4 linked regions of the Alligator mississippiensis genome follow. The main gene of each other region encodes a partner of the protein of the gene in region 3 in a complex. Links are inferred from orthologs where the notes say so. Each region holds a gene or a part of one and is shown on either strand. Other genes may lie near its edges.

Region 1 (7,633 bases), on a different chromosome or scaffold from region 3:
CAGAATTGGTCACAAACAAAACCTCTTCATAAGCAGTCAACATTGCCAGATGTCAAATTAGTAATTTGCCACTTCTCAACAGTGACAAAGTGTTCCGTTTTGACCAAGAGACTAGATCAACTCTTCTCCGTCTATAATCTAGTTACTTTTACATGACTTGGCACCCACCCCCCGGTGACAGCTCCCAACTATTAATGGGTGTTAGTTCCTTTCTTATACATTCTTTCCCCACAGTTCATAATCACCTATGATATGATAGCAGCTTTGTGGCATTTATATGGCGCTCGTGTTCTGGAGAAAGATGCTAATTCCACTGGCACAAAGGTCCTGAACCTCAAGGAAGGGTGAAGTCGAGGCATTATTGGAACATATGCTCACCACCAGCACAATCCACACCACTGATCAGACAGGATAGGAAGCCTGGGGAAAAAAAAAAAACCAAAGGAAAACCAATAGAGAACCAGGAACAAAACAAGCATCACAAGGACCTGTCACCCACACATCTTCTAGACGCTTGCAAAGATATACCGGATTCTGTCTATCAAGCTCAGACAGAGAAGCTAGCAGGTAAGCAGTGTTCAGTATTCTGAATGCAACTAAAGCCATTTGGACTTACATGTGTACACAAATTAAACTGCATCCAGTTTTGGGCCCCCCACTACAGAAAGGATGTAGACAAACTGGCGAGTCCAGCTGAGGGCAATGAAAATGGTTAGAGGGCTAGGGCATGTGATTGATAAGGCTGAGGGAACTGGGTTTTTTTAGTCTGGAAAAAAGAAGGGGGGGGGGTGTTAACAGCAGCCTTCAACACCCTGCAGGGGGTTCCAAAGAGGACGGAGCTGGACTGGTCTCAGTGGTGGCAGATGACAGAAAAAGGAGCAATGGGCTCAAGTTGCAGCAAGGGAAGGTTAAATACAAGGAAAAACTCCCTCACTAGGAGGGGAAAGCACTGGAACAGGTTACCCAAAGAGGCTGCGGAGGTTTTTAAGACCCAGCTAAACAAAGCCTTGGCTGGGATGATCTAGTCAGGGGAAGAAAATGAGGGGGAAAAAAAATCTTTTTGCAATCTGTTTTTGGTTGCTATTTATGCTCCTGTAAGCAATACAATAAAATTCACAATTCACTGTTTCTGTCTTACTATCATTTTTGACAGATCTGGTCAGTGGAAGGCTTCCAAAGTATTGGGTTTTTAAAATTAAAGATATGGTTGTCTTTCACCATCTATATTCTTATATTTGATTAAAACTTCTCAATACCTATATCAGGGATAGACAAACCCCAGCATGGGTGCCAGAATGTGTCACACAAAGGCCATCTGCTTGGCGCGCATGCCTTGGGGCAGACAGCACAGAAGGGGCTAGGGCTTAACTACCACAATAAGGATTGGGCCCCTGGCTGCTCCCCTGCCATATGCCACTGGCACCCCAACTTAAGTTGAGGTTGTGGGTGTTTTTGGGTACTCTGCCCAAAAACGTTGCCAACCCCTGACCTACGTTTAATTGGACCATGAGAAGTACGGGACATGGACAGCTTTTCATCTTTCAACTAATTCCAAAATTTGTTCTTACATAAAGTTCTTACATTAACGCACAGTGTAAGAATTCTGACTTCAATGTCTCTTTGAAAGATTAGGCAGAAAGATGTAAGAAAAATTAAGAGTCTTCCTATTGACATAAATCACAGCAGGAGCTGTTCTCTCCTTCTGAAGCCCCCTCTCCTCCCAAGGAGTAGTTTTGTATGGCAATCAGGTTTCTGGAGGTATTATATAATCCACTAAATGACAAAAACTTGTGTCCGCAGAAGATACTCCTAAAGTGAGGGCAGAAAAAATAATGATATGCAGTAGACCCTAATTTGGGCTCCAACTGTAAAGTAGTTACACTGCAATGTGTCTAAAAAACCCCTCAACTGAACAAAAAGAAAAAAACTCTCAAATGTCAACACATAAAACATTTGTTTCATACTGAATCCTGAAATTCATGTTTCCATGAAAAACAAAAATCTAAACTAAATCAAATAGCTTCTCTCACATCTCGTTGAAAGAGAGGGAAAAAAAAAGATCATATGCAATATAATAAAGAGGAGCAGTGCAGAATGTTTAGGCTCTTTGGTGACCTGACTGGCTAGCCTCCCCTTTGGACTTTTTTCATATTTATACATCAAATGTGGTCCGGCTCATCCACAAGACAAAAACTATTTTGTTTTAGAGCATGCGACTAATACATCAGGAACTTCCTAAACCTTCCACATGGTCTTTGCTGCCAATGACACATCAGCAGGTGGCCAGCATTTGGCTTGGGCTACAGATGCCAAATGAGACGTATTAGTTTTGGATTAAACTGACATTTTACTGAATGCTGGTGTATGCAGCACTATATAAAAGCCTAATTCCTGTCCCAAAACTCACAATCTAAATCATGCCTTGAGCACTGCATTCCAAACAAATGATACAAGGGTCAAAGGGCCAGCCTCCAAGCTATGTGCTCACGTGCTTTAGACACGCTTACAATGATGACAGTAAAATCGATCCTGTGTTGTAAGCAGTAATACCATCTCTCCAGTCTATCCATTACAGAATCTGAACAGTTTATAAAGAGAACTAATGGTCTCATGAGTAAAGAAGCCAGTCTACTGAATTTCTCAATTATTAAAATGAAAAAACAAAAACGAAAAACCCCTAAAGGACTAAAAAAAGAGAAAACTCTTTGAACTATTTGTTCCAGTTACCAAAGAATTACCAGTCTCAAAAGATCCCAACACAACTCTGACCTTCAAGCATATAGGTTTAAAGGCTCCCAGTCACCTCTTTCCTAACGCATTAACCTTCAAAGTAATAGTAGATATGACCCAACTAATAAGTTTTCCCCCAGAGCAGTGTAAGGGATTGTCTGTTTCTTTGTGACACTTCAAATTTAATAAAACCAAACCCTAAAACCAGAACAGACTTGGAAGCTGCAAACAGCTGATCCTGGCATAGTTCAGCAGACAATACCTTAAGTCCTGATCCCCCAAGGAGCTCCCCATCGGTGAATGCCTGCAAATCCCCACTCGCTGGGGCGAGCGCCCAAACAAGCAGCAGCAGGTAGGTACAGGAGTGCTAGCAAAGGCATTCGACCCATCTCAAATTTCAAGTTCATTACTTACTTCAAGTAATTAAATGCGTGGTAAAGATTTAAACCGAGCTTAAATCTTTACCATGTTTAAAGCTAACGCTGTATTTAAAATTCAGGTCTTCAGTTTAGGTGCTCGCTTTAACCTATAAAACAAGGTACAAAACCCTATTTGACCTATTTACCATGTGGCGACTCCAAGAACGACCGTACAAAATGCTGCACGTCTTTACGAGCAAAGCACATTTTGATGAGCTTCGTTCCCTCCTAAAATTCACCGTAATAAGAGGCTTTATTGTAAGACGGACGTGCTGTAGTGTGAAAAAAATACGAGTCCCGATAGTTACTGAGCATCTGGAAACACGTTATGAAATTAGCCCCATTTACCCTAAAGGGGAAACAGGCCTGCTGAGTCTAAACGTACCAAAGATAAACCAGAGTCTAAATTTACCAAAGACCGACCGCCCGGCACCGCGCAACCGCCGCTCAGGACGTACCGCCCGGGCGCCGACGCAGGGGTCCTCGGCCGGGGCGTCGGGGGCCCCCAGCGCCTCCAGGTCCTCTCGCGGGTGCCGCACGCTGGCGCGCAGGTGTGCGACCGCCGTTCACCGGACACGAGAGCCCCGTGGGTGACAGCCGCGTGCCCCGCCAGGCCCTTGGATGGCTCGGGGTGTCTGCGGTGTCCCGAAGGGGCTCGAGCAGGGGCAGGTCGAGCCTCAAACCGGCTCCCTCAGAGCGGGCTCCGGTTTCAGCCTCGCGGCCTGGCAGGGAGAGAGGGGGCGGAAGAAGAGCAGTTTCGCTTCTCAATAACACGGACACACGCACGCGCACGGGGGCACACCCCGACAGCCTCACTCGTCCGGCGCGGCGGGGAGCAGCGAGGCCGGTTCCCGCCCGGCTCCTCGCCCCGCCTCCTCCTCGGGCCGCGGCTCCCCGGCGGGGGCTGGGCTGGCGGCTCTCTCCACTTCCGGGCCCGGCTCCCGAGCACCGCTGCGCCCTCACGGCGGGCGGGAGGGCGAAGAGGGAGCGGCCGCCCCGCCGCAGGGCACGGGAACGGAGATGATGATGATGGAGATGGAGGCAGCGGCCGCTCCCGCTTCCCGTCTCCCGCGGCCTAAAATGGGAAAGAGCCCCTCACAAAATGGCGCCGGGCGGCCTCGAGCACTGCGCATGCTCCGCGCGGCCCAGCTCCTTGCCGCCGGCCCCTACCCCCAATCCCCGCCGAGAAGCTCCGACCAACCGGCGCTCGGCGAGCGCTGACTTCACTTCGGCGGCGCCCAATGGAGCCGAGTCGCGGGGCTCCGCCAATCGCCGGCCCGCGCCGCCTTACCTGCGTCGCCGGCCGGCCAATGCGCTGCCCGCGCCGCCGGCCAATGGGGGTGCTGTCCGCGGCGCCCAATCCGGGCGGGGCAGAGCCCCCCGGGCGTCACGGCGAGCCAATGAGAGCGGGCGGAGCCCCGATTCCGCTCAACAGCTTGTTATTGGGCTGGCGAGTCGGGGCGGGGGGAGGGAGGAGCGCGGGGTGGGGGGGGCCGCCGCTGTCGTCGTCGTTGCTGAGGCGGCCGCTGCGCCGCCCGGGCCGTGTCCGGTAGGGCTGCGCCGGCGGGCGGGGGGGAGGGGGCGAGCGGCGGCTGCCCCGGCCCGAGCCCCGGCGCCAGCCTGCTCCGGCCGGCGGGTCCCGGCCGGTCCGCGCGCGCTGCGGCGGCGCCCGGGAAAGTTGCGAGGGGCGGCGGGGCCCGGGGGGGGAGGGCTCCCGCCTGACACGGGGCAGCGGAGCAATGGCGACGTGACACCGGGCGGGTGAGGAGCCCGCGCGCGCGCGTGTGTGTGGGGAGGGGGGCTGCGAGTGTGCACACGTATTTGGGAGTGCGTGCGTGTGCTTATTTCTGTGTGTTTTGGGAGAGTGTGTGTGTGTGTGTGTGCGTGTGTGTGCGCGGAGGCTGTGTGCAAAGTGTGAGCCCGCCCAGTGCGGAGGGGTGTGTTTAATGATCAACCCCGGACTTGTGGCTGGATCGCGAAGGCCGAGACGTTTCCTTTCCCGAGCCGCCTCCTCTGACCGTGCGTCTCTCTCCTCTTCTAGTTTTTCCCCCGTGCGGCGGCGGTGGCGGCGAGGAGGAGTCGTCGAGCTGGACCCCCGCGCCTGAGCTTGGAAGATGAAGGTAAGCGGAGCCAGCCCCGGAGCGTCGCCCTCGCCGCCGGAGCTCGCTCGTTCGTTCGCTCGCTCGCTCGTTCGCTCTCCCTCTGTTTCCTCCTCTCCTCCCCGTCACCGGCGCCTTTCGTGCCATTGCTCGTCCCGCTGCGTCCTCCTCCAGCGACAGCAGAATAACATCCGGCCCGGCCGTGGACATCAGCACATGTTGATTCATGTGAAATCCCGTGCCTTCCATTTGACAGAGGTGCAGCCGATGCCATTGCGCTGCTCGAGAAAGATAGGATGCCTTTGAATGGTCGGCCTTCGGGCTGCTGCCTTTAAATGCTTCCTGTATTAGCAGCAGCTTTGGTGAGTGTGCACAAACCACACGCCACTTTTTTTTGTCCTGCCTGAGCTGTTTCGGTTTTTGCAGAGCCGAGGCAAAACAATCGCTGGATCGTTTGCAAAGTGGGACGAACTTTTCTTGGCTGCGGAGGTGAACAAACACGGAGTTAGAGCCTGACATTAATTCCTTGCACACACCGATTTCCTGTTTTACTGTATTTCGACTCTTTTTTTTTTTTCTTCTTCCTTTAAAGTGCAGTACCTCATTTCTCAGTCATGGTAAAAAGCCAAGCAAAAGATTACTATGTTAAGTCATTCCCAGATACAGGCGTGTGAGCTTAACAGTTTCTAAGGTTGCCTGCATTTTGAGAGGATAAAGATCTGAACAAAAGACTTTTGAGGAAGAAGAAGAGCATTTAACATAATTGTTTGAAAGGTTATAGCAACTTGGTGTATTTTTTTTCCCTGTTTCTGGAAATCTGGGATAGACAGTAGGATAGAACTCTGTTCACTGCATGGAAATGACAAATTGGATTCTTTTTTTAAGTGGATATCAGCACATGAATATTTTAAAGTAAATATAGACTATGTTTGTTAATGTATCACTGCTGAAATGACAACTGTACAATCTCTGTTCAACTTGAAATATCACTTTCCCACTGTATTCTTTGCAAGGATGAGTTGAAATGATCTTTGGGTAGATAGATAGATATTTTTCCTCCTTATTGTAAGCACATGCTACACTTTGAGGCTGTTGATTTGGGATTACTGAGAGAGGAGTCATTGAAAAAACCATGGGTTAACATTAGTAGCTGAACAGAACTTCCTATAACTTATCCATGAACTCGGTATTAAGTAAGTGGCTTAGCCACTCTGTTATTTTGAAATTTCCTGGCAAAGCTCGTGTATTTATTCACTTGTAAGTATTTTGGTATGATGCAAAAAGTGCTATAACACATCATCCTTGATTCATTCTTGTTCTTTTTTCTCAGTTAAATTTCTTAAGTTGCTATTTTAAATTGTATGCCTAGATGTAAATGACAGAATAGGGACATAGGCAGTTCTGATTTTTTTCCCCCTCCTTATTACATTTTTCTTACAGAGTCTATTTTGTTGAAATTGCTTTTTTTTTTTTTTGTTCTCTGCATGTATGTGGTTTATAAAACACCTTTTGTGTCTGTTGTAGCAAGATCAATTTGTTAATCTTTTTTTGGTGCATCTTGTTTAGAAATTATACTGAGACAGTGAAACTTTAAATCTGATTAAAACATTTCAAAATATCTTGGCTAAAATTGGGTCTGCCTGGAAAAAACACTTAGTCTGATCCTGCTCCACTGTTTTTATGGAACAAAATCAAGGGACATTGTTAGCAGATGTGTCAACAAATTGCTAACTTTTTAGCATACATCCTTTTAAAGAAAGGTCAGACTTACAGTAGCTACATAAATTGCTGTTTAGGATTTTGTGAAGAAATGGTCAACAGGACTGAAACTTTGGGTGCGTATTTGAATGTATGATGCTTGTTGCTAATGAATTTCTTTTTTTAACAAAATATGAATATGAGAGACTAACTGTTTTCATGTTTTCTTTTTTTGATAGGCAGCAGATGAGCCTGCCTACTTAACAGTCGGGACTGATGTCAGTGCCAAGTACCGTGGTGCCTTTTGTGAGGCAAAGATAAAGACGGTGAAAAGGCTAGTGAAAGTCAAGGTAGAATTCGTTATATTAGTGGTAATCTTTCTGTTTCTTATTCAAAAAGGTAATATTCACAGGAACACCAAGGAAAATCATGCCTCTTAAAATTTATGTATGACTAAACAGATCTGTGGACATTTCTTATAAAGTTTTTTTTCTGTCTCCCAAAAACCATTGGTGCAATTAGTTTAGTGCATATGTGTTCTTTTCTTTTGAAGGATGCTAGAGTACAATAGTCTCTAAAATAATTTTATCTGTTCTTGCTACTTATTTCTCATTTGAATTTATAATCTTATGTTTGTGACGACAGCTGTTCCACAGCAATCAGTTTTGATGTCACAAACAAGATTAT
Region 2 (7,179 bases), on a different chromosome or scaffold from region 3:
GGTTAAGCATTGGATTAGATTACTTAATGAGGCTATAGAATTTCCATCCTGGATCTTTAAAGAGCGGGTTAGACAAGAATGGTTGAGATGGAGATGATCCTGCCTAGAGCAGGACTAGATGACCTCTGGAGGTCTTTTCCACGCCTATTTTTTCTATGTTTCTATCAAAGAAATAAATTAAAACTAATCTAGAGCTAGAAAGTACTATGTAAAAGAATTCAGAAACAGGGTTTCATCTAGGGTGGTAGTTTTTTTCACTGTTTACAACACCAGTCACTGTGCTATAGAATGGTTTTTCTTTGCTAGAATATGAAAGGTTCAATTACTGTATGTATTAACAACATATGCAACTACTTTAGTAGTGTTGGTGTGATGTTGTAACTGAGGGTCCAGGAGATGCATGAGAAGCAAGGATTTTGTGGGCAGTATATTTTGAACTAACCGCCTGATTGGGATAGATTTAGACAAGGTTTTGAATACAGTTAGTCCACAAGGTGGAGCTATTTGCTTTTAAATTATTCCTTATCTAACAAGAAAACTGTTTAAATCTGAAGGCAGGCAGAGATCACTCTGCCCTGCCTTGTGCCTAAACCAAGAAGAAAGTGTTTCCCTTCTCCACCCTTGCCTATTCAGTAGGATTTCTTCCACACTTTCAGGATGTACTGTTGTGGAAAACATTTTGTATAGCACCAAAATCACACAAGTGACTAACTCTCATTTAAACCTTGAGCATTCTGAAAATATTAAAAAGAATACACGGCCTGCACACACACCAAATTTGCCATTTAAAATCTTTAGCCAATTCAGTTTCTCTTAGGATGTTTCTTATCCCCTGTTTTATCCTTGAGTGAGTTGTGGTCCTGGTGAATTTTGTGGTGTACTGTAAGAGTTTACATAAACCTTGTTGCAGGGGTTTAGGTTGTAGCCGTGTTGGTCTAAGGACATAGGCAGACAAGGTTCCTTGGGTGAATTTGATATCTTTTATTAGACCAACCCAAATGGTTGGAGAATAGTTATTAAGCAAGCTTTCGGGTTCAAAAACCCTTCATCAGGCTAAGGAAGCTTCAGCAGTTGGTGTGCGCTCTTCCTGGATGGAATGAAAAGTAAACAAGCCAGGGGCTGGGGTGGGCTGGGGGTCAGTTGCCAGGCAGATTGTAATGTATCAAAAATCCAATGTCTATGTTTAGTTGGTCTAATAAAAGATATCAAATTCACCCAAGGAACCTTGTCTGCCTATGTTTAGTCCTTGATCTCGAGTATCCAGCAGGTTGATGAAATGGAGCTCATAGGCTCATCTCTGGGAAGTGTTGTGTAAGTTTCCCTTGAGGATCAGGAGTGAGAGATTGGAGAGAGAGTGGCCCTCCTGTGAGAAATGTGCCCCCACTGGTAATTGGGTGTTTCTGTCTTTGATAGATTTCCGGTGTGCGTTCATTCTGGTACGCAGTTGTTGTCTGGTCTCTCCTACATATCTTCCATCAGGGCATTTGGTGCATTGGATGAGGTATACTACATTCTTGGAGGTGCAGCTGTAAGATCCTGGGATGCTGATGGCTCTGTTGTGGGGTGTAGTAATAGTGGAGGTGGTGGAGATGTGGGGGCAGGTTTTGCATTCCTTGTCATGGCACGGTCTGGATCCTTTTGGTGTGTTCTGGGCTTGAGGAAGTTTGCTTCTGGTGATGAGGTTGGCGAGGTTTGGTGCTTGTCTGAAGGCTAGGATGGGTGGCTCTGGGAAGATCTTCTTAAGAATAGGGTCTTTTTCTAATATGGGTTGCAATTTTTTGAGGATTTTCCGTACAGGTTCGAGGGATGGGTGATAGGTCATAACCAGCGGTGTGCAATTTGTGGGTGTTCTTCTTCTGTACTGCAGCAGTTCTTCACGTGGTATCCAGGTGGCTCTTTCAAACGTGCGATCTACCTCTCTGGAGGAGTGTCCTTGCTGGGTGAAAGCCTTTTTAAGATTGGTGAGGTGGCAATCCTGGGTGTTCTCTTCCGTACAGATGCGGTGGTAACAAGGGGAAATTTCATAATCTAATTATATTAATATGATTATTCTACTATAATTGTACCACTAATTGTGCAGTCATGTTTATTATAGAATAAGAATGCCAAAAGTGCTAATTTTTTTCCCCAACTAGACAAACCCTAACTCTCTGAGCTGTTGTTTGAGGCAGAACATGGGTATCAGCTGAAACTTAAGTGGCTAGTCAAGTTACTGACATCTTTAATTTTCCCAGTGGGCTTTCCACACTTCATACCAACCAGGGTCAGCTGTATTCATTAAATCTAAGTTCAGCTGTAATAGGGGCTCTAGTTTTAAAATAATTTTGTTCAAAATGTTCACCTGGTATGAGATTTTCTAGGTAAACTTGAGAATAACAGTGTGCTATGGCTGCCCTGTTGCAGCTCACATTTTTCCAGCTGAGCTGGATTCCTTTGCAGAACAACCCAGTCATATTAGACTCGAAGATAAGTCACAGTTTTTTCATTCTATGGATGTGTGTATAAGTTTTTATTTTTATATCCATCTAGACAGCAAAAATTGTTTCCCTTTTATTTAGTCTGTTTTATAGCATATTTTTGTTTTTACAAATGTTAGCATTACTTGTGTTGCCAAATGTATTTTAAGCAGCAGGAAAGTGCCTATTTTTATTCCATTTTCCAAATTAATGGAAAGTGTTCTATAGGACTCAGGTTTTATAAATACATAAAAATAAAATTTTGAAATTTTGCATCATCTGAAACTAGGAAAGTGTCTCTGTAAGCCTAAAAAAGGCAGGACTGAATTTTAATAGATTAAGCTCTGTGTGTGCATGCGTGGTATATCCATCCTGTTTCTTTTTTGCTTGATTATGCAAGCATACAGGAAAGAATGTGAAAAAGCTGTTTAATCTTATCACAAATGCACTGACTCTTCCACGTCCAGAACATGTTTCCTTTCACTTCCAACAAATTCTTCGTTAAATGGCTGATGGCTTAGCTGGTGGTTTTATGGACTTAGTTCCCCAGTTACTAAGTAAGCAAAGAACTTTCCCCGGTAAAGCCAGGGAATGGAACTGAACCACCTATTACTGTGTCTGGTGTTTTGCTAATAATTAGAATTTCCATTCTTTGATTTCACAGTCTTACAAATGAGTTGTGAGGGTGGAGGCTGAGTGCAAGAATCTCCAAAGTGTAAAAATAGCCAGAACTGAAAAGGGTCAAACCTTTTTTTCCTAAAGTCTTGGGCTTAGAAGAGATGGAGCAGTTGGTTTGTCACTAGGTTGTAACCTGTGTTTGTATTTTCATATTTTAATTTTTACTTCAGTATCTTAGGTTTTAATCTTGAATATTAATATCTGATATCAGTTATCATCTATATTCGAGTGTTTTAGTACAAGTCTCTGGATGTTTTTGGATCTGGAAGACGTGTTCTGTAACGGACTGAAAAGTGTGTGCTCTCTGAGTAAGTCCAGGCCTGCAGCTCCAGCCTGCCCCTGCCCCGCACTTCCAGGACAGGCAGAAAGGTGGTTGTTTGAAGTGCGGGCTCCCGTGCCGGAGCCCGGTCGGTCCCAGCGCCCTGCCGCTGCCCCGTCTCGTCCCCGCTGCCTTCGACTTCATCTCGGGAAGCGGGTCCCTGCGCACCGCTCCGGGCCAGGTGGAGATGATGGCCCCGGCCAGCCTCCCCCTCCGTGACCGTGGGGCACCGCGGGCGAGAGCGCAGGGCTCTCCGCACTGGGAGGAGAGTGGGCCCGAGCCGCTCGCTGCGCTCTGCCCTGGGCGTCTGCTGCCCCCTGCCGGCCTGGGGCAGGGAAGCCCGGCCCCGCGTGGGGCACGGCTCAGCACGGCTCGTGCCGTGTAAACAGCGGTGGGAGGCCGGGGGTCCCGCTCCGACAGCGCGGCCGCGTCGGGGAAAGGAGGCAGCACGCGTCTGTGCCTCGTGGACTCTCACGTGTGTCTACTGCACAGGTGGGAGGTACGGGCGAGCACGCGCAGCTACATGCGCGCCCCTACCGACCCCGTGCGTACACACGTGCGTGCACCCCCGCGTCTGTGCGGGCGCGCGGCCAGGCCGGGCCCGGGGACCACTCTGCCCACACGAGGGCCCGCCGCCCTCCCCTCCCCTTCCCCGCGCCCCAACAAAAAGTTGGTCTCCGGGCAACGGCGCCGCGTCACTTCCTGCCAGGCCTGGCCAGGCCTCCCCGGGCCGGGCGCGTTTCGCTCGGCTGTTGTGGCCGCGGCGGCCCGGGGACACGTGGTGCCGCCGCCGGGAGGGAGCCGAGCCGCGCTGCGCTGCGGGCCAGCATGGCCGCCCTGGCCCCGGCGCCCGCCACCGGCAGCGGCAATGGCAGCGGCGCGGGGGGCGGCAGCAGCCGGCACGAGAAGAGCCTGGGGCTGCTCACGGCCAAGTTCGTGGCGCTGCTGCAGGAGGCCAAGGACGGCGTGCTGGACCTCAAAGCGGTGCGGGCCGGGCCGGGCAGGGAGCTGCTCTCCGCCGAGCAGCTCCGGGCGGGCGAGTGGGGGGGCGCGGTGCTGGAGGAGCCCCGGAGCTCCCCCGCGAGGCGCCGGCACGAAGGAGGGAGGGAGGGAGCGGGGGGCCGGGCTGGCGGGTGCTGCCCCTGGCCCGGCTACTAGGAAGGAAGGGGGTGAACGGGGCAGGGGCGATCCCTGCTTTGGGCTCCTCCCGCGTGGGTGGTAGCCTGTATTGGGACCCAGCTTGCCTGTTTCCGCGTGCAAGGCACCGGCGCTGCAAAACATCATTTTAAAAGGTTGCTATCTTCCGTAGCTTGAATCCCCCTGCAGGGAGACCTCAGTTTAGAGCCATACTCTGACTCGGTGTCGCCTTTTAGTGCTGGGGTGTGGAGGATTGAAAGGCCTGTGGTGTTTTATTTCTTTCTTTAATTTCCCCGGGAGAACATCCCACCAACCCCCCCCTTCACCGAAGGTGCAGTCAGCTTGTTCTAGAAGCACCTGCGATTGCTGCAGTGAACTTTCAGAAACACTTTTTTCCCATTCGGTTTGTTCCCACCATGCGTTCAGCAGTGCTGTGTACCATGCGGCTGCCTGACTGGAACTTCTTTTTTTTAAGTCATTTTCAAGTTCACAGGGCCTGTCTCATCTACTCGGGCTATAATATGTGAGCATCCTAAAACGCAGTGGTTTTGAAATACAGTGAAGAAGAGGAATTGTCTTGGTTTTCAGTTGGATCTGTGCAGCCAAACTGGCGCATATGAGTATTAAAAGACTTCTTTGAAGTCCTTGATGTGAATTTCCCAATAAGATGCATGCTGCATCACTGGCCAGGAGAGCTTTTAAACTGTCAGCATTGTTCAGTGTTTGGAGTGGATTGACACTGAGGCCACTTGCGGAGGAGAGTGTGCAGAGACCAAATCCTGGCCTTGCTGCAGGTCAGTAGCTATGGATGCCAGCTAGAATCTGAGATCTTCTCTGAGTTCTCAAAAATCCACATACTTACTTAGTTTTTCCTGAAATTTGGTGTCTCTTATGGTGATGCGGTATAGTTAATGTTCTAAATTTGGGGTTAAGTGAGCAGGAAGTTCCCAAAATATTCCATGCCTTCCATGAAAACTCTCAGCTTTTTTGTTTTTGCACAATGTGGGAATCAAAGTTCAGACTGAGCTTTCCCCAGATGACCTCAGTCACTCAACATGCCCCCCATCCCTTTGGGGAAGCTCCCATTCTGGGAAGAAGTATATGTAGGAAGGAGGAAGGGTACAGGTCCCATTTTGGGTGGGGTGTAAGCCCCTCTTCCTGCCCCCTGTGCATGTACAGGAATCTAGCTGGCCCTGCCTCTTTAGAGTGGCCTGAGCTCTTCCACTACTCTCCAGGTAAGGCAGGACTTTGTTTAAGTATGCCCCACCCCTGCATGGAGTGAGAGAGCTGTCTGAGACAGGGAGACACTGAGCTTTCACTTGTCATTAAATCTATAGACTACATAATCTTCTACCTAACTGCTGATGATACCTTAGCAAGAAGGTATCCTGCTAAGCACCCAATCTATGCAACATAATGTTGACTCTCTCAACATGCACATGCACCTGTTCCCTTGGATCACACATGTAGGCTCAGGCCAAGGGGCGCATGCCTATTTTATCCTATCACAGTCGCAACTCTGCCAAGCTGTTCAAACTAGTTCTTCTCCATTTGCTACAGCTACACCTAACGCAGTGCTTATGGACCATTCCCATTGGCTATTGCAAGTGTTAGCGAAGCAGAAGTAACACTGCAGGGGCTTGTGCCTTATCTCTTCTCACCGCTGTCTCTGCATTAATGAAATTTTTCATCACTGAAATATAACTTCAACAGTTACCAAAGAATCACCTCATATGTCACACATTCTGAACATGAGTTTCATGCTGAATATTTGTTTTCCAGGCAAGAGCCTTCTTATGGGAATAGTCAGATAATATATTCCATGGATAGACTTACTCAAAATGCAAGAATTAATGACTCTTCTATAGCAACTTTTCCACTGAAGGCATTTTATTTTGCAATACTAAATATGAAACATTTGGAGAGCTGGGATAGCTATAGTAAACTGGTATTTTCTCTTGAAGTCGGAGATAGTTTTTAAACCACTTTGGCACATCTTGAAGAGTGACCGGTTTGCAAAAAAAGATCTCCTTGTGTCCATACTACAAAAAGGAGGAGACTTGTTGAAAAGTCTTAGGAGAACTTTTCAAAAGTGACTAGGGAACTTCAGAATGTAAATCTTGCTTAAAGCTGATGAGACTTAGGATCCCAAGTCACTTTAGCATTTTTGACAGCTTTATCCCAAGTTATCGGACCCTATATCACGACATTTTATTAAAGGGATGATATTCTTTTATTGTTCAGCCTTATACTATTTTTTAAATTCCCTTGCCCATCCCATGTGTTTGAATGAGAGAAACAGAGTGAGTTAGGGTTAGCTAGCTATTCTCACAAATGTATCAAGAGGTGATTTGGACCCTCTGGAGTTGAAGGTGCTCTCCCATTCCCTCCCAGCAATAAATAAGTCCTGTTCCACCAACTTGCCCATTACTCTTGCGTATTCTTCACTGTCTCCCTGTCTAATATCAGTTCTGTGCCTCCCAGTGTTCCTCAGTCTCTCTAGGCTTAGGGGAAGGCATCATTCATGGTGTCTGTTTAACCCCTGTCTTAGCTGACTTGAAGATGATAAGGAAGGGCAGAAGAATTATC
Region 3 (7,643 bases):
ATACAGAATTAGGGGCTGCAGGAAGAAATGCACATGGGCCTGCTATATTTGTACATAGTGTTTGTTACCTTTAAAGTAGATGGTGAAAATGGTAAAAAAATTGCTCTAAAATACCAAATGGACTCCCTTGATCTCTTAGAAAAAGTAAGCTTAGCATTCAGCAGAAGAGTTTTGACATTGCTCTTTGCACCTTTACCATCAAAATAATGTTAGCATTTTCTAAAACAGTTTCTCAACCCAGGGGGGTCACAAGAATATATGAAAGGGTTGTGAACAAACTTTAAAAATGGATCATACTTTGCATACATTTTGAAAAAAATAGATGCTGCTTGTGCTTCACCATATGTTAACACTGTGCATACTAATAAACAGGGATCTGGGTTTTCCATCTGCTGTGGAAAAACATGAGTTTTCTTCTTTAAAGGAAAAAAAAAATGGGAAACTGAAGGTTTCCCCTTATAGGCTGGCAGAGTTCCAGCCTGCAATGGGCTGCTTGGGTCTGGGGGTAAAAAAGAGAAAGGCGGGGACCAGGCAAGGCAGCCATCTATTCAATGAGCTGAAACTCAAAGAAGAATTCTGTAAGTGCACAGAATGACCTTTCAGAACTTGATTAGTGACCAACTAAGGGCTTCTCTACTTATGTAATCATGCCAGAAAACCTGTGTGCACTTTAACTTCAGACACATAGCTTTAAACTCATACAGTGTTATTCAGGAATCAAATACCTCCATGGGTAGTCCAGACCTTATGCATTCACCTGAGACACAAGGGCATCTATGCTCTGATGATTGTGATTAATGATGTGTGATTAATTTTAATGCATAGGAACAGACTCAATTAACTGAGTCTGCTGGAGCACTCTATTGAGAACATCTCACATTTCAAAATGGTGGCAAGGGCGCTTTACCTGAAGTTCATTTGATAAGCTTTAGTTAAAGTGCCCCCCCCCCAGTGCCATTTTGAAATGCAAGGACCTTGAACACATGAGGCACTGCAAGCATTTTAATTATAGTGGCTCTGTAATTAAAATATACCCCACCCCAGAGCATGTGTAAAAATGCCATAAGTGACAGACCATAGATAGGGAACCCCCAGCACGGGTGCCAGACCATGGCATGCATTTTGCTTGGCAAGCAAGCCTCAGGGTGGACAATGGGGAAAGGGCTGGGGCTACACTGCCACAATAAGGGGAACCAAGAGGGGCCCGATCCCGCTGAGCCAACATCTTACAAGTTGAGGCTGTAGGTGTTTTGGCACTTTGCCCAAAAACGTTGCTGACCCATCTCCCCACCCTGTAGGTAGCAAAGCTTTCCTTTCTCACACTGGCCTTCTGACAACCCTATCCTACTCAGCAGTCAGAAGCAAGTCATCTGAGCTTGTGTGTACATTGGTCAGATTATCCAAACACACACTTACACTGGAATGCCATATCAGAATTTCTCTGGCAATACCACTGGTTTTTACAGCAGCATTTTTCAACCCATTGGTCACAAGAATATATGAAAGGGTCACAAAACAAACTTTAAAATTGGATTCTCCTTTAAAGGAGAAAACAAGAAAACATGGGAAGCTGTGGCTTTTCATGGGGAAAACATGGGAAACCATGGCTGCTTGGGGTCCCCCACCCACCCACCCACCCCCTGTCCCACACACTGGGGGCTGGGCCCTGGGAGCAGTCAGTTGGGAGTGAGGGGCACAGGGTCAAGATTGGTCATTTATTTTTACAAATAGGTCCTGGTACAAAGAGGTTGAAAACCACTGCTCTACATAATTTAAAAATTCTAGCTCTTTCTTTTAAAGAGCTCAGACTGATTTTTTTAAAGCAGAGCTAAATTGGCAGATAAATCAATCAGACTCTGCTGTATTATCTAGAGTCTTTCCCACCATAGTACACTCAGTTTCACAGAAGGGAAATTAAAGTCAATACTTAAACAATGGAAGATGTTCCAATACAATGATTATGGCCAAGTAATTGCTTCTGCAGACAGACACCGCATGCGGAAGAGGAGCTGGGTGCTGTATTTTACCCAAGGTACTGCAAACACCTCAAAGGGACACCATACTTCGGGGTTGGGGTTGTTGTTTTTTCAAAGACATTTTTGTGTTCCAAGCCGAATCAAATCCAAATCCATGAGTCAGTCCAGAACCGTAAGTGGCCCTACAACCAGCAAACATCCTCCACCCCCACCAGGAGCTTTAAATGTTTCCAAAGTCTTTTGGCAGCCATCCTACATGTAGGGCCAAGCCCAAAGGCTTGGGGTTGGGATGACCCCCAAGTGTCGCCTGCCCTCAGCCATATGGCTGCAGGAACAAGCTAGGGAGAAGCCTCACTTTTATATAAAATGGGCATTAAGCCCCAACACCTTGGTGGGTACTAAACCACGCCAGAACAGTTATCCCTGAGAAGCTTAAGGAAAACTGCCTTCATGGACCCAGATACATGGCGTTTCCCCTGCCAGGTAAGCACAAGCACACCATGCCTAGGTGCAGAATGAACACAGGAATCTGCCCCAAGACCCGATGTTGCCAGTCTCCTTCAGCTGGCGCCAGCCTCGGACGAGCACAATTATAGCCGAGCGGCTCCGGCCAGCAACGCAAGGAACCACCGCCACCCGCTACGCTACAAGCCCCGTCGCTCAGAGCGCAGGCGGGCAGCGGCTGCCTCCCCGCTGCCCTGCGAGTCATCCTTGAAGCAGCGGTACCCGCACATCAGCCGGAGCCACCGCCCCTCCGCAAGCACTTTCCGGCCCCGCCCAAGCCTGGCACCAGCCGGGGGGCGCGGCCCCGGAGCTCGGGCCGGCTCTCACCTCCAGGCTGTAGGTGCCCTGCAGCGCCGTGAAGTCCCGCAGAGCCGCGGCAGCGCTGGCCGCGTCCAGGTTGAGGTCCTGACAGAGGCGCTCGATGACGACGCGGGCCGCGCCCTGGGCGGCTTCGGGGTCCCCCGCAGGGCCCTGCTCCAGGGACATGCCGGCCGCCCAGCCCCCGCCACCCCAGCCCAACAACCACGATCCCACAAGCCTTCGCGTCCAAAGCGCCAAAATCCTTCCGCCCCGCCCCTCGCTCTCGCGAGAACGTCCTCGGGCGACTCAGCCCGCTGCAGCTGCTGGAGTGGCTTCTGCGAGCCTGGCGCAGCTCTTTCGCGTCCTGCCGCAGCCAGTCGCCCCCTTTGTTGATACGCTGGCTCGGTGGGGTGCCACGACGTGGTGACAGGACAGTGGCTGCGCGGGTTCTTCCTCTTGCTGCGAAATGCTCCAGGTCCCGCTGCGCGGCCAGGCGGGCTGGGGACGCGAGCTGACGGGAGGTCCTGGACCGCCTTCGCCCCGGGCGCAGCGTGAAGCCCGGGGACTTCAGCGTTCACTAACGGAGGTTTAATCCCGGCGTCCACATGTCGTGGGACAGTCAGAAATGCTGATACTGCTCCCTCGCTGTCCGGGTAATGCTTGTGAGGAGCAATTTTCTCCCAGACGTGCCGCAGAGCGGAGGACCTGGTAACCAGCTCTGTTGGTTCACCCTTATAGCCTGGTTGGTCTCAGCTGCTGTGCTGTTTTCTGGCCAGTTCCCACCCCCACTGCTTCTGCTTTACTCGCCTCCGATTGCTGTGACTTCTTATCATGCAGCTGCCTGTAGCTACGCAACCATGTAGTGAGCATAAATTAGATTGCTCTTAACTCCTTGTGGAGAAAGGGCCCCAATCCACTGGCATGACAGGGAGACTGAAAAAAAAAGTCAAGTAATCGGCCATAGTGAAATAGTAAATACTGCATCAAGTTCCCATAGTTGTAGACTTGTAAAGTACTCGGATCCCCTATATAAGTGTCCTTAAGCTAAGGGTTGGGTATAAAGAGCAGAGGCTAAGGACTTGGTCTGAGATGGATGTAGCCTTTCTCTGGAATGGAGAGGAAAAACGCACTTAGTGCTGACCTCTGATGAGAGCAGGAGGTCTGGGGAGGATCAGTTTTGCCTTTTAAGGTGGGTGGGCAAAATACATTCCACAAGTCACTTCCAGCCAGCCACACCATTCTAGCCCATGGGGCCTCCCCAAAAGACAATTATTACCAGCCCATGGTTGCCCCTCTGAAAGCCAGCAGGAGGCTCAGCCTTTCAGAGGTCATGCATCACCAGGCTGGGCTGACCTTGGGGCTCCCAGCACTCAGGGCAGGAGCACCATGTGGCAGCAGGGAGCCAGCCTGGCCCGACAGCTTGTAACTCCCCAGCACTCCAGCAGGGAGCCACGCATGATGGAGCCCAGTGGGCTCCATGCCACCACATGCAGTTCCCGGGTACTCTATCCGGGAGCTGCGCAGCATTGGGCAGGCCGGGCTGGCTCTGTACAAGCACATGGGGATCCCAGCACTGCAGGCAGGAGCCACACACCATCAGGCTGGGCCAGGCTGGCTTTGTCCCTCCATGTGCGGCTCTTTGCTGAAGTGCTGGAAACCCCTACGTGCTGGCCTAGCTTGGTGGCATGCAGCTCCCTGGGCTGGCACTTCAGTGGGGAGCCGCACACCATTGAGCCAGTTCTGTGCCACCATGTGCAGCTCCTGCAACTCAGCTGGAGCCGTGCACTGCTGGGGGGCTCTGCCCGCCACAGGAAACTGCTGCTGCTGGCAGCAGGGGCTATTCACCATGGGGCACTGTGTGACAGGGCCCCCCCCCCCCCCCCATCGTACCTACTTCCAACCGCCCCCCAACTCTCACCCCCAAACAACACCCGCACAATATACAAGAGTAAGACTTTATTTTGTGCTATTATGCAATTGCCTCTATATACACTACACAAACACACAGAAATCAGGACAAAAATATTTTTTGAAATAAAATATGTTCTAGTAGATGTTTGATTTTTAGTACATGATTTGGGAGTTTTTTTGTGGTTCCAAGATGGCAAGCCCCCCTCAAAAAAACAGTACTTCTGGGGCAAGTAGAGGGACTTTCAGTGGCAAAGATCAGGGGTTAGTGGTGGGACGTCTGGCCCCAAGACGGCAACCTGGGAATGTGGCTACCTCAACAGCTCACCAAAAGTCAGTAAGTGGTCCTTCAGCCGAAATAATTGGTCACCCCAGCTCCAAGGGCACATCTACACAAGACATTTACTGCAGTTGCTTAATTAGCTCCATAGTAAATGTCTCAGTGTCTTGATATGCAATGCTATTACAATAGAGTAAACTAATTAATTCTGCCATAGGTTAGTGCTTGTAAATACAAGTAGTGTCCTGTGGCGGAGTTTTTTTTTTTCTCTGCATCAGCATGTGTGTAGATGCTTATATAGCTGGATGGAGCACAAGGGTGCTTCAGTGCAGGGTCTGCCTGCTGGCTAGCCTCACACTGAAGTACCCTCATGCACCAGCCAGCCCCTTTGCAGCACGTTGAGCCAAGTCAGAGTAGCCCCAGGCTTGCAGGCTGACCCCCTACCTCTGGGGCCTCCTGCCAGCTGGGGCTGCTCCAACCTAGCTCAATGTGCTGTGGACCCAGGCACATGTCCAAATGCAGTGCCCAGGGGCAATAAACTCCGGCGCATAATATGCGCCAGAGTTTATTGCTGCACATTTATAGCACATGTAGATGTGACCTAAGGGTAAGAAAAGATCTGGATAGGGATTAATAATGCTGCCCTAATATAGTATGTAATAATAATAAATCATAATTTTTCACATTTCCCTGCAAAATGTGCAAACTTTCTTCTGTTATTTAAGGTCAGATGTACTTGTGAATGCAACTTTCCATTGAACTAGAAGACTAGGACATAGACAGGGTTGATAATCTGATAAATGAGACAATTTTATGCTATTTTAGATTATAGAAGAGTAGGGCTGGAATGGACCTTAGAAAGCCCCCTGTTCAAGGCAGGATTATTCCTGAATAAACTATCCCAGCCAAATGCATCTATAGTTGAAAATACTTATCCACCTCCACAGTGAGAAAATTCTTCCTGATCATCAACCTAAATGTCTTCCACTGTAGTGTGAAGCCATTGCTCCTAGTCCTGTCCCCTACAGCAGCAGAGAAAAGTCTTATTTTCATCCTCTATAATCTCCATTCAGGTATTTGAAAACTTATCAAATCCCCCCTACCAGTCTTGTCTTGTCTATACTGAAGAACCCTAGTTCTTTCGACCTTTCCTCGTAAGTCATGTTTTCCAGACCTCATCATTTTTGTCACTCTCATCTAGACTCTTTCTTATCTGTCCACATCTTCTTGAAGTATGAAGCTGTAAGAGGACCTGTGACAAGGGGCCATCACGAGGCTGGTCACAACACCAGCCTGTGCACCTCTCTAGGGCTATCCACCCACCTGACTCACCTGCCACTCCTTTGTTGGAACTAAAGAGTTGTTTGTACATAGGCAGGAGGCTGCCCATTTATTGCCTGATGCCCAGGGCATAATACATGGCTCCAAGCCATCCCTACACCATGTTTCATGCCTTCAAAAATCACTTCAAACTCTCCTGGACCCTTAGCTGGGCTGCACTCGGCCTCTGACCTACATTTGGCCTTGGATGTACTTTGGCCCGGTCTCTGGCCCAAACTTGGCCTCAGATGTCCTCAGACATGCCTTGGTCATATGCTTCCTTTCTGGGGCCACAACTCCACCCCATCATTGGGGCCTCTACTCCACTCCCTCGCTGGGCTTTTGTGCCTGACATCCCTTAGGCTTCATTCTGGGGTCCTTGCCGCTATGGGCTCCTTGCCCTTCATCTCATTCTGGGCTCCTTGCTTTTATGGGCTCAGGTCCCTTGCTGGACCTTGCCCATGTCTCAGACCCCACCATGCGCCATATGCACTCTGCCTTACTCTGTATAGTTTCATAGTTGGTAGGGTCGGAAGGGACCTGAGCAGATCATTAAGTCCGACCCCCTGCCATGGACAGGAAAAAATGCTGGGGTCAAACGACCCCAGCAAGGTGTCTATCTAGCCTCCTTTTGAAGACCCTCAGGGTAGGAGCCAGCACCACTTCCCTTGGGAGTTGGTTCCAAATCCTAGCCGCCCTGACTGTGAAGTAGTGCCTCCTGATATCGACCCTGAATCTACTCTCCGTCAACTTACGGCCGTTATTCTTTGTTACTCCCGGTAGTGCTCGGGGGAACAGGGACTCTCCCACTGCCTGCTGGTCTCCCTTGGACAGTTTATAGATAGCCACCAGATCCCCTCTCAGCCTTCTCTTGTGGAGGCTGAACAGGTTCAGGTCCCTTAGCCTCTCCTTGTAGGGTTTGCCCTGCTGCCCCCTGATCATGCGAGTGGCCCTCCTCTGGACCCTCTCAATGTTGTCCACATCCCTCCTGAAGTGTGGCACCCAGAATTGGACGCAGTACTCCAACTATGGCCTGACCAATGTCATATAGAGGAGGAGGATCACCTCCTTGGACCTGCTTGAGATGCATCTGTGGATGCATGACAAGGTGCAGTTAGCCTTCCTGACTGCATCCCCACATTGGCGGCCCATGTTCATCTTGGAGTCTATAAATTATTCCAAGATCCTTTTCTGCCTCTGTGCTGATGAGAAGGGAGTTCCCCAGTCTGTAGGTATGCTGCTGGTTCTTTTTCCCTAGGTGCAGTACCCTGCACTTGTCAGTATTGAACCCCATCTTATTCTTATCCGCCCACCCCTGTAACCTGTCCAGATCCAATTGCAGCCTGTCCCTCCCT
Region 4 (7,586 bases), on a different chromosome or scaffold from region 3:
TCCACTTAAGGAGTTCTGGTGAGCTGTCCTGGGGCAGAGTGAGAATCAACACCTCCCACTCCTACCCCCTGCAAACAGCTCACCAAAACTCCCTCCCTGGCTCTGCCCCACACTTGGCCCGGTGGATGGGATGGAGCCATGGGCAGGTAGGGGACAGAGGGAGAGGTGAGCGGGGCCAGAACTGTGATCAGGATCGAGGGGCCAGTGCCCCAAACCAAGCCATAATCCACTCTTTGCACACCCCTACAACAGGTGCCGGCTCTGCAGGAAGGGGCGTGAGGGAAGCATATTGCGACTATGCCCCAGGCCCCACACTCTCACTGCCCAGCAATCCCAGGGTCTCCATGGAAACCAGCCTGGGACCCGCAGACAGGGTGCATTCAGGCAAACAGATGGGACCACAGGTGGGCAAGGGAGCAGCAGCATCTGGGAGTGGAACAGGCCAGCGGGGCCAGGGCTGAGATCACGGTGCTGTGAAAGTGCAGGGCCAGGGGAAGCGCCTCAATATACTCGCCCCACACCCTTGCCTGCACAACTGGCACCCACTGCAGGGGTGTACAGGCAATGGATTGGGGATCTGCCCTGGGGCCCCAGCCCCACACTGTCACCACCCCAAGATTCCAGCCCTGCGTCCAGCCCCACTCCCAGATTGTTAACATCTGGGAGTCTGCCTGCCCTGCTCCCAGATGCCCTTCCTCACCCACCCATGGCCTCATCCCATCTACCTAGCAAAGCACGCCCTGCCCATGGGGGTCCTGGATACCCCACACATCTGCTCTGTCTGGCAACCCCAGCAGTGGGTGTGGGGCAGACAGGTCACGGTGCCCTGGCAGCAGGGTTGAGTTTGGTAGCAGAGACTGGCTGTGGCAGCTGGAAGGAGGTGCTGCTGCAGGGACTGCTGGGAAGCGAACCCAGCTGCTACGCTGCCGCAATCATGCTGCACGCCCAGAGGCACGAGGACCGGCTGCACATGCCATAGCCTGGACTGCCCCGAGCCTGGGACAACAGGGCTGAGGGATCCACCATAGGCCGGATAAAATCCCTTGGCAGACTGGACCCAGCCCATGGTCCATATTTTACCCAGCCTGGAGTACTTCAAACCACAACTCAAAAAAAGCTGAAGTAATAGAAAGAATGTTAATTACTTCTTTCCTAGAAGCAATGAAAATCTAACACTTGTCTGCAAGTTAGAAAGTGCAAAGCCTATACAATGCTGACCCAAATTACATACAGTGAAGACAACTCCCTGCAAGACAAAATTCTTCTAGTTCCTGATCTTGCAAGCTGGTCTGTGCAAAACAGATGCTTGGGTATCCAGCCCTACAGAGCAGCATGCAGGATCTAGGCCTCCATTCAGCCTAGCCATCTGAATGGTGAGAAAGGGCTTAGGCAAAGCAAGTAACATTTGAAAACTACAAGTGGAATTTTTCCCCAGAACTGAAACCAGGCTCATTGCTAAAGTGACATCCATGTCTGGCCATACAAGAACACCTGACTACAAAAATTTAAGGCTGTTTTTAATAACTTTAGTCCTAAAAACAAAACCTCTCAACAATGAATGTTTAATTGCTAAAAGGTTAAGATAGTCTTGATGGTTATGTATGACAGAAAGATCAGAACAAAGTTAGGTGACTTATCTAGCACCGTCTGTCTTTAGAAGTGCTACACAAACATTAATCAATCTTCAAACACCTGTGCCAGGAATATGAACAAGCATCACTATCTATATTTGATGGATGTAAAAAAACCCCCACAAACAAATAAATAGCAGTGTCACAACTGAGAATAGTGGCCATTTGACAGCAAGTTGTGTAAAGCAACACACGGACGAAATGTGACTGAAAAAAAGTCCAGTCAGTTATAGACACCATATCTGAGCTTGGACCCAAGCTGGACCCACCATACCCCAGATGCAAGTCTTGGAGTCTAAATATACATAAACTCAGATATGCATTTAATTTTTCACTGCTTTTACCTACTTTGTTATAGTTATATAAAAATAAAGTTCAATTTTCACAAAGACACTTCAGCAGAGAAGATTATTTAAAAATGTTTGCCACTGCCAGAACTGATAATGACAGGTAACTTAAAGAAATAAAAGTTCTTTTCTTACCTTCTGCTACATCATCATCTACAGCCCCTTTCACCTGAGAAAAACACCACTGAATATCATTTCCTCCTCCAGCTCCTGGAAGCAAAAAAAAGCAGCAGAGACCCCAGTTAAAACTGTTTGCAAATTTTATTTGCTCCAGTTGAGGCAGCATGCATCTAGGGCTGGCAAGCAACAATTCAGAGCCTGTTGTACACACCCACCACCAAGACTTCCCAAGCCAAAGCAGAGCTGCCAAAATCTTGATTACAAAGTGCTTCCCCCAAAATGATACCGCTTGTCACTCGCAATTTGTATTCAAAGCACAATCTGGCTAAAGTAGTGCTAAGAATGATCGAAGCTTTTCACTACAATTAGATAAGTCATAAAACTACCAAAATAATTACAATTAAATGTTAAACTATGCTATGTTTAAAAAGAGAACGCATGAACAATGCTATGTGAAAACAAAAGAACAGCAGCTTATTTCGCATCAAAGCATTTTTCCACTTCAGAACTTCAGTAAAACCTAAAAAACAGATCTCTACTTACAAGTGATTTACATTTAAAAATAAATACTAGGTCCAGGAATGATTTTCAGAACATTACAAACATTTAAAACCTTTGCACATCTCAAAGAAAACTGACTTTCATTTTGGCTGCCTTAAAATGTTACAACAACTAAATACTTAAAGACTAGAGAAATTTTACAACAACTCTGCAATTCCCCAACAGAAGTACCAGGAGTAAATATAAGGCCTAGGGAAGAAAGAGAAAAAGAGAGAGAGAGACAGAGAGAGAGAGGAAAAAGAGAGACATCAAATCCCTGAAATCTACCTAAAGTTAACAAATGTAACTACCATAGAAAATGGATCGAAGAGAAAGCTTCAGAAACATTACTGCTTCAGCGGAAGGCAGTGATTCATTTGAACCTTGCCACCAAAACATGCAGGAATCCACCACCCATTTCTTTTACATTTCATGCTGAGCAAATCACTGGGCTGGTACATACAGGAAGAGACTGAAATGAGCTTGCTCTTTCTAAGAGAGACTTCCCTCCCAGCCATGATAACCCAGGACTAAGCAACATATGCAGTTTGCAAAGTGCTTGCTAAACCACTTCTGGGGACAAGGGGCATGCAGGAAGGAACAAGTTAAATTAAGTTTAAGAATGAAGAAGCAAGCTGCTTTCTCCGTGAAACATCATCAACAGCCAGCCTCAGCACTAGGGAGGGGAATCCAGCATTTGAAATGGATCAGACAAGAGTCTGAACTTGGTGGTTCTTTAAGCACCAAGAGATTAGTGAATTAGACTGAGCTGCAGCAATAGGAAGCATCACGAAGATGTTCACCTATGAAAAATACTTGCTTGGAGTACACCCTACCACACCATCTCTCCCACCTCCCCAAAACCTGAATCCTCAATTTCTCACTTGTACCCAGCCTCTGATATTTGTTATTTAGCACTTCACATCATGGAAGCATTCTGAGGATGACATTTTGCAGGAAAAGCCACCACACCTTAACTATCAAGCTGAATTTCATTTTCCAAACAACTTGCTGCCTTCAAGACCCTGTTTCCATTGATTAAAAAGACAAGGATGGGTGGAGAGAGGGGAGCTGTAGTGTAGGGGAGAAGGCAAGATGCAAACCTAAACAGAGCCTCCCCAAATGCAAAGAATAAAAAATGCAATTTATTTGCAGAGAAGGAGGAAGAGAGCACCGAAAAAAAATAATTCAAAGGGGAAAAGTAAAAAAACAAAACAAAATCGTGTCCTACCAACCACACTTCTGTACATGAAGTAAAGCCATTTGCAAAATGGGGAAGAAAATGAGAAAGAAGAAAAAGAGAACCCCACCCCCACCCCAAGAGCAGGTATTTTTTATTTGAGAGTCTGATTTGACTCTTATCTGCAGATGTCTTATAGGTGAGCTCTACAATAGGATGCCAATGCACTCAAACACCATTTTCTGTCAGCCCTGTCTACACCGCCAGCACCAGCCTGCGCTCCAGGGAGGCGGCGGGGGGTGGGGGGGGAGAGATCTGCCGGCCCAAAGCAGAAAGTCGAACAGGGAATAAAGGAGAGACCCACCCTACCCGGAACCCCCTTCCACACTCAACTTCAGGGCCACAGGACTTCCCCCGCCTCACCCCACCGCTGCCCTTTTGCAACGCAAATCTTTTGGCAGGGAGGGGAAGCGGCGGGGGAGGAAGGAAGGAAATCAGGAGCGGGAGAAACGGACTCTGCACACTGCGCTCCAGGATGCAGGGAAATGCAGGAAAAAAAGAGGAGGAAGGGAAAGAGGGAGCAGACATGTGCAGCCCCAGGAAGGCTCCCTGCACGCGCCCCGGCCCCGTGGCCTCAGCTGCGCCCCCTTCGCTCCGCTCCCCGCCCTCGCCGGGCTGCAGCGCCCGGTACCCGGGAAGGACGGGGCTCCCTTCCCCTTACCTGCCATGTTGGCCTCCCAATGGTGGCCGGGTCTGATAGTGGCACGTCTCCGCTCTTAGAAGCGCCCCCGTTTGCCGGGCGGGGGGGTGCCGCGGAGGAGGATGGCGGCAGATTGTACCGGGGGGGGGGGGGGTGAAACCGACTCGGCTCCTCGAGCTTCGCCCGCTCTTGGCTCCCTCCCTGCCCCCCCCTCTAAGAGTCTACTTTCAAAATGGCGCCGGCGGAGCTGCGGGTGACGTCACCCGGAGCGAGGAGGGAGGGGCGAGAACGCCGAGGGGGCGGGGCGCTGATTCGGTCTTGCCCGCCCCCCCCCCCCAACGGTCGCCCCCAACCGTCCCCCAACCGTCCCGTGAGGCGACCCCCGCCCCCACGGCCGCCTCCATGTCGCCTCGCCGCGCCGGCCGAGCCCCCGCGGAGCCCCGGCGGGGCCCGCCCAGGACTCGCCTCCCCGCTGCTCGGCTCGGAGCCTCGTCAGTTGCAGCCCCGCGGAGGTGGGTGCGAACTGAGCGCGGGGGGCGCGGGCAGGCGGGCCCGGCCTCGCGAGCCCTCCCGCGCGGCGGCTGGGAGACGTGAGCACCGCACAGCCCCGGGCCCCGGCCCGGAGCCACCCCGACACACGTCTCGGCACCTCCCCCCGAGGCGGCGGCTGGGCTGCCCTCCCTCCCCCACCCCGCCACGGCGCCGGGGAGGGGGAGCAGCCCGGCACCGTCCTGCCAAGGGCCCCGTGCAAGACTGCGACTGAATCAGATACCCGACAAAGGCTCCCTCCGACCTGGGTCCAGAGCCGCTAGGCAGCAGGGATGCACCCCGGCCAGAGAAACCAGTTGCATTGGCATCCTCAGCCAGCCTCCTCCAAAATTGAGGGAGCTTCTTTGTAAGCTTCCTTTTGTCTCGTTTTTAATCTACATGTCACATCTCAGGCCAGATGGGCTCCAAATTGCCCGCTAAACAGAGCTCAAGTCTGGTGGCAGCAAGTGTCCTACCTTTCTGCTCTTCAGCCCAAGGCTTCAGATGCTCCCGAATCCGCGGGAAGCATGCAAGCCCCGAGCCTGGAGGCCTTGGGGCTCAGGTGCTCCCAGTCCCGCTTCCCCATAGCCAAAATGCTGAAGGAATAAGCTAGCAGCAGTTCCTGAACTCGGACAGGTTGCACACCGTGAGTTTTAAACAATACAGCCTGAAGTACCACCAGCAAATTTTCCAGTTCAACCACCAGAAAATTTTGGTCACGTCGAGTAATTATAATACATCTGTCAATGTGCACCACTGGTGGTACCCGTGCCACAGACTGGGAACCACTGAAAGCCCAAGAGCAATTGCCCAGCACCATAAACGGGGTAGGCAAGAGGCTTTCGTGGACTCTAGCAGGGGTCAGCCTACCTGCAGTGCAAGGGACAGGCCGTTACCCCACACCAAGTCATCCAGAGCGCAGACAGAAGTGACATTTTTTTGCCAGATCTGGCCATAGAAAGCAGTTTATAGCGGTGACCAAACATAAGTACATGGCTGCAGACAGCTTCAAAAATGGCCAATCACGTGAAAATCTGACCCCTCATTGTATGCAGGGTCAGTCAGATCAAGACATTTGGAAACAGAGTCTTTTATAACTTCTGTCTGTACTGCCTGCCAGCCTGTAGCTGTTTTCGGGGCGGGAGGGGGGGGGAAAGGGAGCAGAGGAAATTCAGTCTGGGGGTATTTCAGCCCCTGCTGGAGTGTGGGCAGGTGTATTAGAGCCCTCCGAGGTTGGGGGGCTCCAGTACACCCACCCCACCCTCCAGAAAAGGCTGGGGAACCCCTAGAATGAGCTCCCTCTGCTCCCTTTCCCCTCTCCCATCCTGAAACAAACAGGCTGGGCCACTGCTAGGGGAAACCAGGGGCAGGTTGGCAGCCAGCAGCTAGATTCCCCTCCCCCTGGAGCCAACAGTGAACTTCAGTTTGTTCCAGGACATCAGTTGTAACTCAGAAGGCTTCCTGCAAAGCCTTCTCAGTTACATCTGGGAGCTGCACTTCTGTCTGTACCCACAAGGTGGAGAAAAAGGGTAAGTAAGTAAGTAAGTAAGTACTTACTTTATTTGTAATATACTTGTAATATCCCCGGCCAAGTGAGTAAAACCACATGGGCTGAAACCATCATCATGTTATCTCCCCTGCCACGTGTTATTTGTAGGCATCAGAGCAAATCAGAAGTCCAGAGACAAATTTAGCCAAAGCTTAAGGATATTCATAGGCCAACAGGATCACAGCTTGTTGGATGCCTGGGGAGTTGAGGGACAGCCATAAAAATATAGTTCCACATTTCCCAGAGCTCGGGGGACATTATGATCTGCTCCACCTCTATGTGGTAGGTCTCTACAAAGGGCTGTTCCAGCCTGGACCAGATTTAAAATTTGTAATGAAATCTGGTAAATCCCTATTCTTTCAGAATGACTTGACAACATTCTGCACAGCTCGGAGGAAGACATCTTGCCAACACTTAGTGAGCCTCCTTTGCAAATAGGGCTGAATTAATCCATTAATTTGGGCTTCAGAAATTAATTCAGCCCTTGGCATGGAGTTCCTGTGGATTAAAAAATCCTGCAATTAAAAAAAAAAAAATGCAATTAGAGCTTTATATCGTGGATTAAAGAAACTATTACAACTTGTTGTAACTAGCAAAGTTCCTCTAGAAAAGATATGACTCTTCACTTAAACATTGTGAGATTAAAAAATACGTTTTAGTATTATAAACAACTTGGCTACAGAACATAATGAAGTCATATAAATAATTAACATTAAATCACAGCCTTATTACCTGGTGGAACACCTTTGTGATGTAGTCTTTGCTTGTATGCATTTGGTGATTTGGCAGTCATATGCTAGTGTAAATTATTAGTGCAAAATTACTACAGTTTCACAAAATTTCTTAACTACATGCATATGCTTCACTAATTTAAACAGGGGAATCATATGTTCACTACCTATGAAATTAGAACTATTATTAGTAATTATAAATATTACATTTATGCAACAAGTTCCAAGGAGCTTTTCACAGCACAGAGCTTTGTTAGACA

What was found.
Region 1: the proteins of RBL1 (region 3) and ARID4A are in contact, whole or in part, in a crystal structure (PDB 7SMC), measured with the Homo sapiens proteins. The link is inferred for Alligator mississippiensis from reciprocal best matches to the Homo sapiens genes RBL1 and ARID4A. Residues at the interface, in NP_002886.2 of Homo sapiens: Tyr849, Ile850, Lys853, Val854, Thr860, Phe861, Gln862, Met865, Lys866, Arg869, Tyr879, Arg880, Asp929, Leu930, Ile931, Tyr934, Asn935, Val939, Ala946, Leu947; in NP_002883.3 of Homo sapiens: Leu957, Val958, Cys959, His960, Glu961, Val962, Asp963, Leu964, Asp965, Asp966, Leu967.
Region 2: the proteins of RBL1 (region 3) and E2F5 are in contact, whole or in part, in a crystal structure (PDB 5TUV), measured with the Homo sapiens proteins. The link is inferred for Alligator mississippiensis from reciprocal best matches to the Homo sapiens genes RBL1 and E2F5. Residues at the interface, in NP_002886.2 of Homo sapiens: Ser1000, Ala1001, Leu1002, Leu1003, Tyr1004, Lys1005, Phe1006, Asn1007, Ile1017, Met1020, Ile1021, Gly1024, Glu1025; in NP_001942.2 of Homo sapiens: Met162, Ile190, Ala192, Pro193, Ser194, Gly195, Thr196, Gln197, Leu198, Glu199, Val200, Pro201, Ile202, Pro203, Glu204, Met205, Tyr213, Leu217.
Region 4: the proteins of RBL1 (region 3) and PPP2R2A are in contact, whole or in part, in a cryo-EM structure (PDB 9C6B), measured with the Homo sapiens proteins. The link is inferred for Alligator mississippiensis from reciprocal best matches to the Homo sapiens genes RBL1 and PPP2R2A. Residues at the interface, in NP_002886.2 of Homo sapiens: Ser615, Pro616, Leu617, Met618, His619, Pro620, Arg621, Val622, Val625, Arg626, Ser629, Leu632; in NP_002708.1 of Homo sapiens: Lys88, Tyr178, His179, Asp197, Leu198, Met222, Glu223, Glu224, Leu225, Thr226, Glu227, Val228, Ser247, Arg278, Ser279, Phe280, Phe281, Ser282, Glu283, Ile284, Ser287, Tyr337, Phe343.

The regions. Positions count from the first base shown.
Region 1 is NC_081825.1:295,274,605-295,282,237, forward strand, and holds the start of ARID4A (AT-rich interactive domain-containing protein 4A), read left to right. Parts: upstream 1-4,624; 5' UTR 4,625-4,698; intron 4,699-5,032; exon of another isoform or gene 5,033-5,190; 5' UTR 5,191-5,263; coding exon 5,264-5,269; intron 5,270-7,185; coding exon 7,186-7,296; intron 7,297-7,633.
Region 2 is NC_081826.1:50,204,660-50,211,838, reverse strand, and holds the start of E2F5 (transcription factor E2F5), read left to right. Parts: upstream 1-4,177; 5' UTR 4,178-4,281; coding exon 4,282-4,437; intron 4,438-7,179.
Region 3 is NC_081832.1:35,405,158-35,412,800, forward strand, and holds the start of RBL1 (retinoblastoma-like protein 1), read right to left. Parts: upstream 3,008-7,643; 5' UTR 2,967-3,007; coding exon 2,808-2,966; intron 1-2,807. UniProt on the Homo sapiens protein: Key regulator of entry into cell division. Directly involved in heterochromatin formation by maintaining overall chromatin structure and, in particular, that of constitutive heterochromatin by stabilizing histone methylation.
Region 4 is NC_081830.1:23,496,116-23,503,701, reverse strand, and holds the start of PPP2R2A (serine/threonine-protein phosphatase 2A 55 kDa regulatory subunit B alpha isoform), read right to left. Parts: upstream 3,002-7,586; 5' UTR 2,987-3,001; coding exon 2,950-2,986; intron 2,189-2,949; coding exon 2,114-2,188; intron 1-2,113. Other genes in the region: EBF2 (transcription factor COE2), read left to right, coding at 4,921-5,030. UniProt on the Homo sapiens protein: Substrate-recognition subunit of protein phosphatase 2A (PP2A) that plays a key role in cell cycle by controlling mitosis entry and exit. Involved in chromosome clustering during late mitosis by mediating dephosphorylation of MKI67.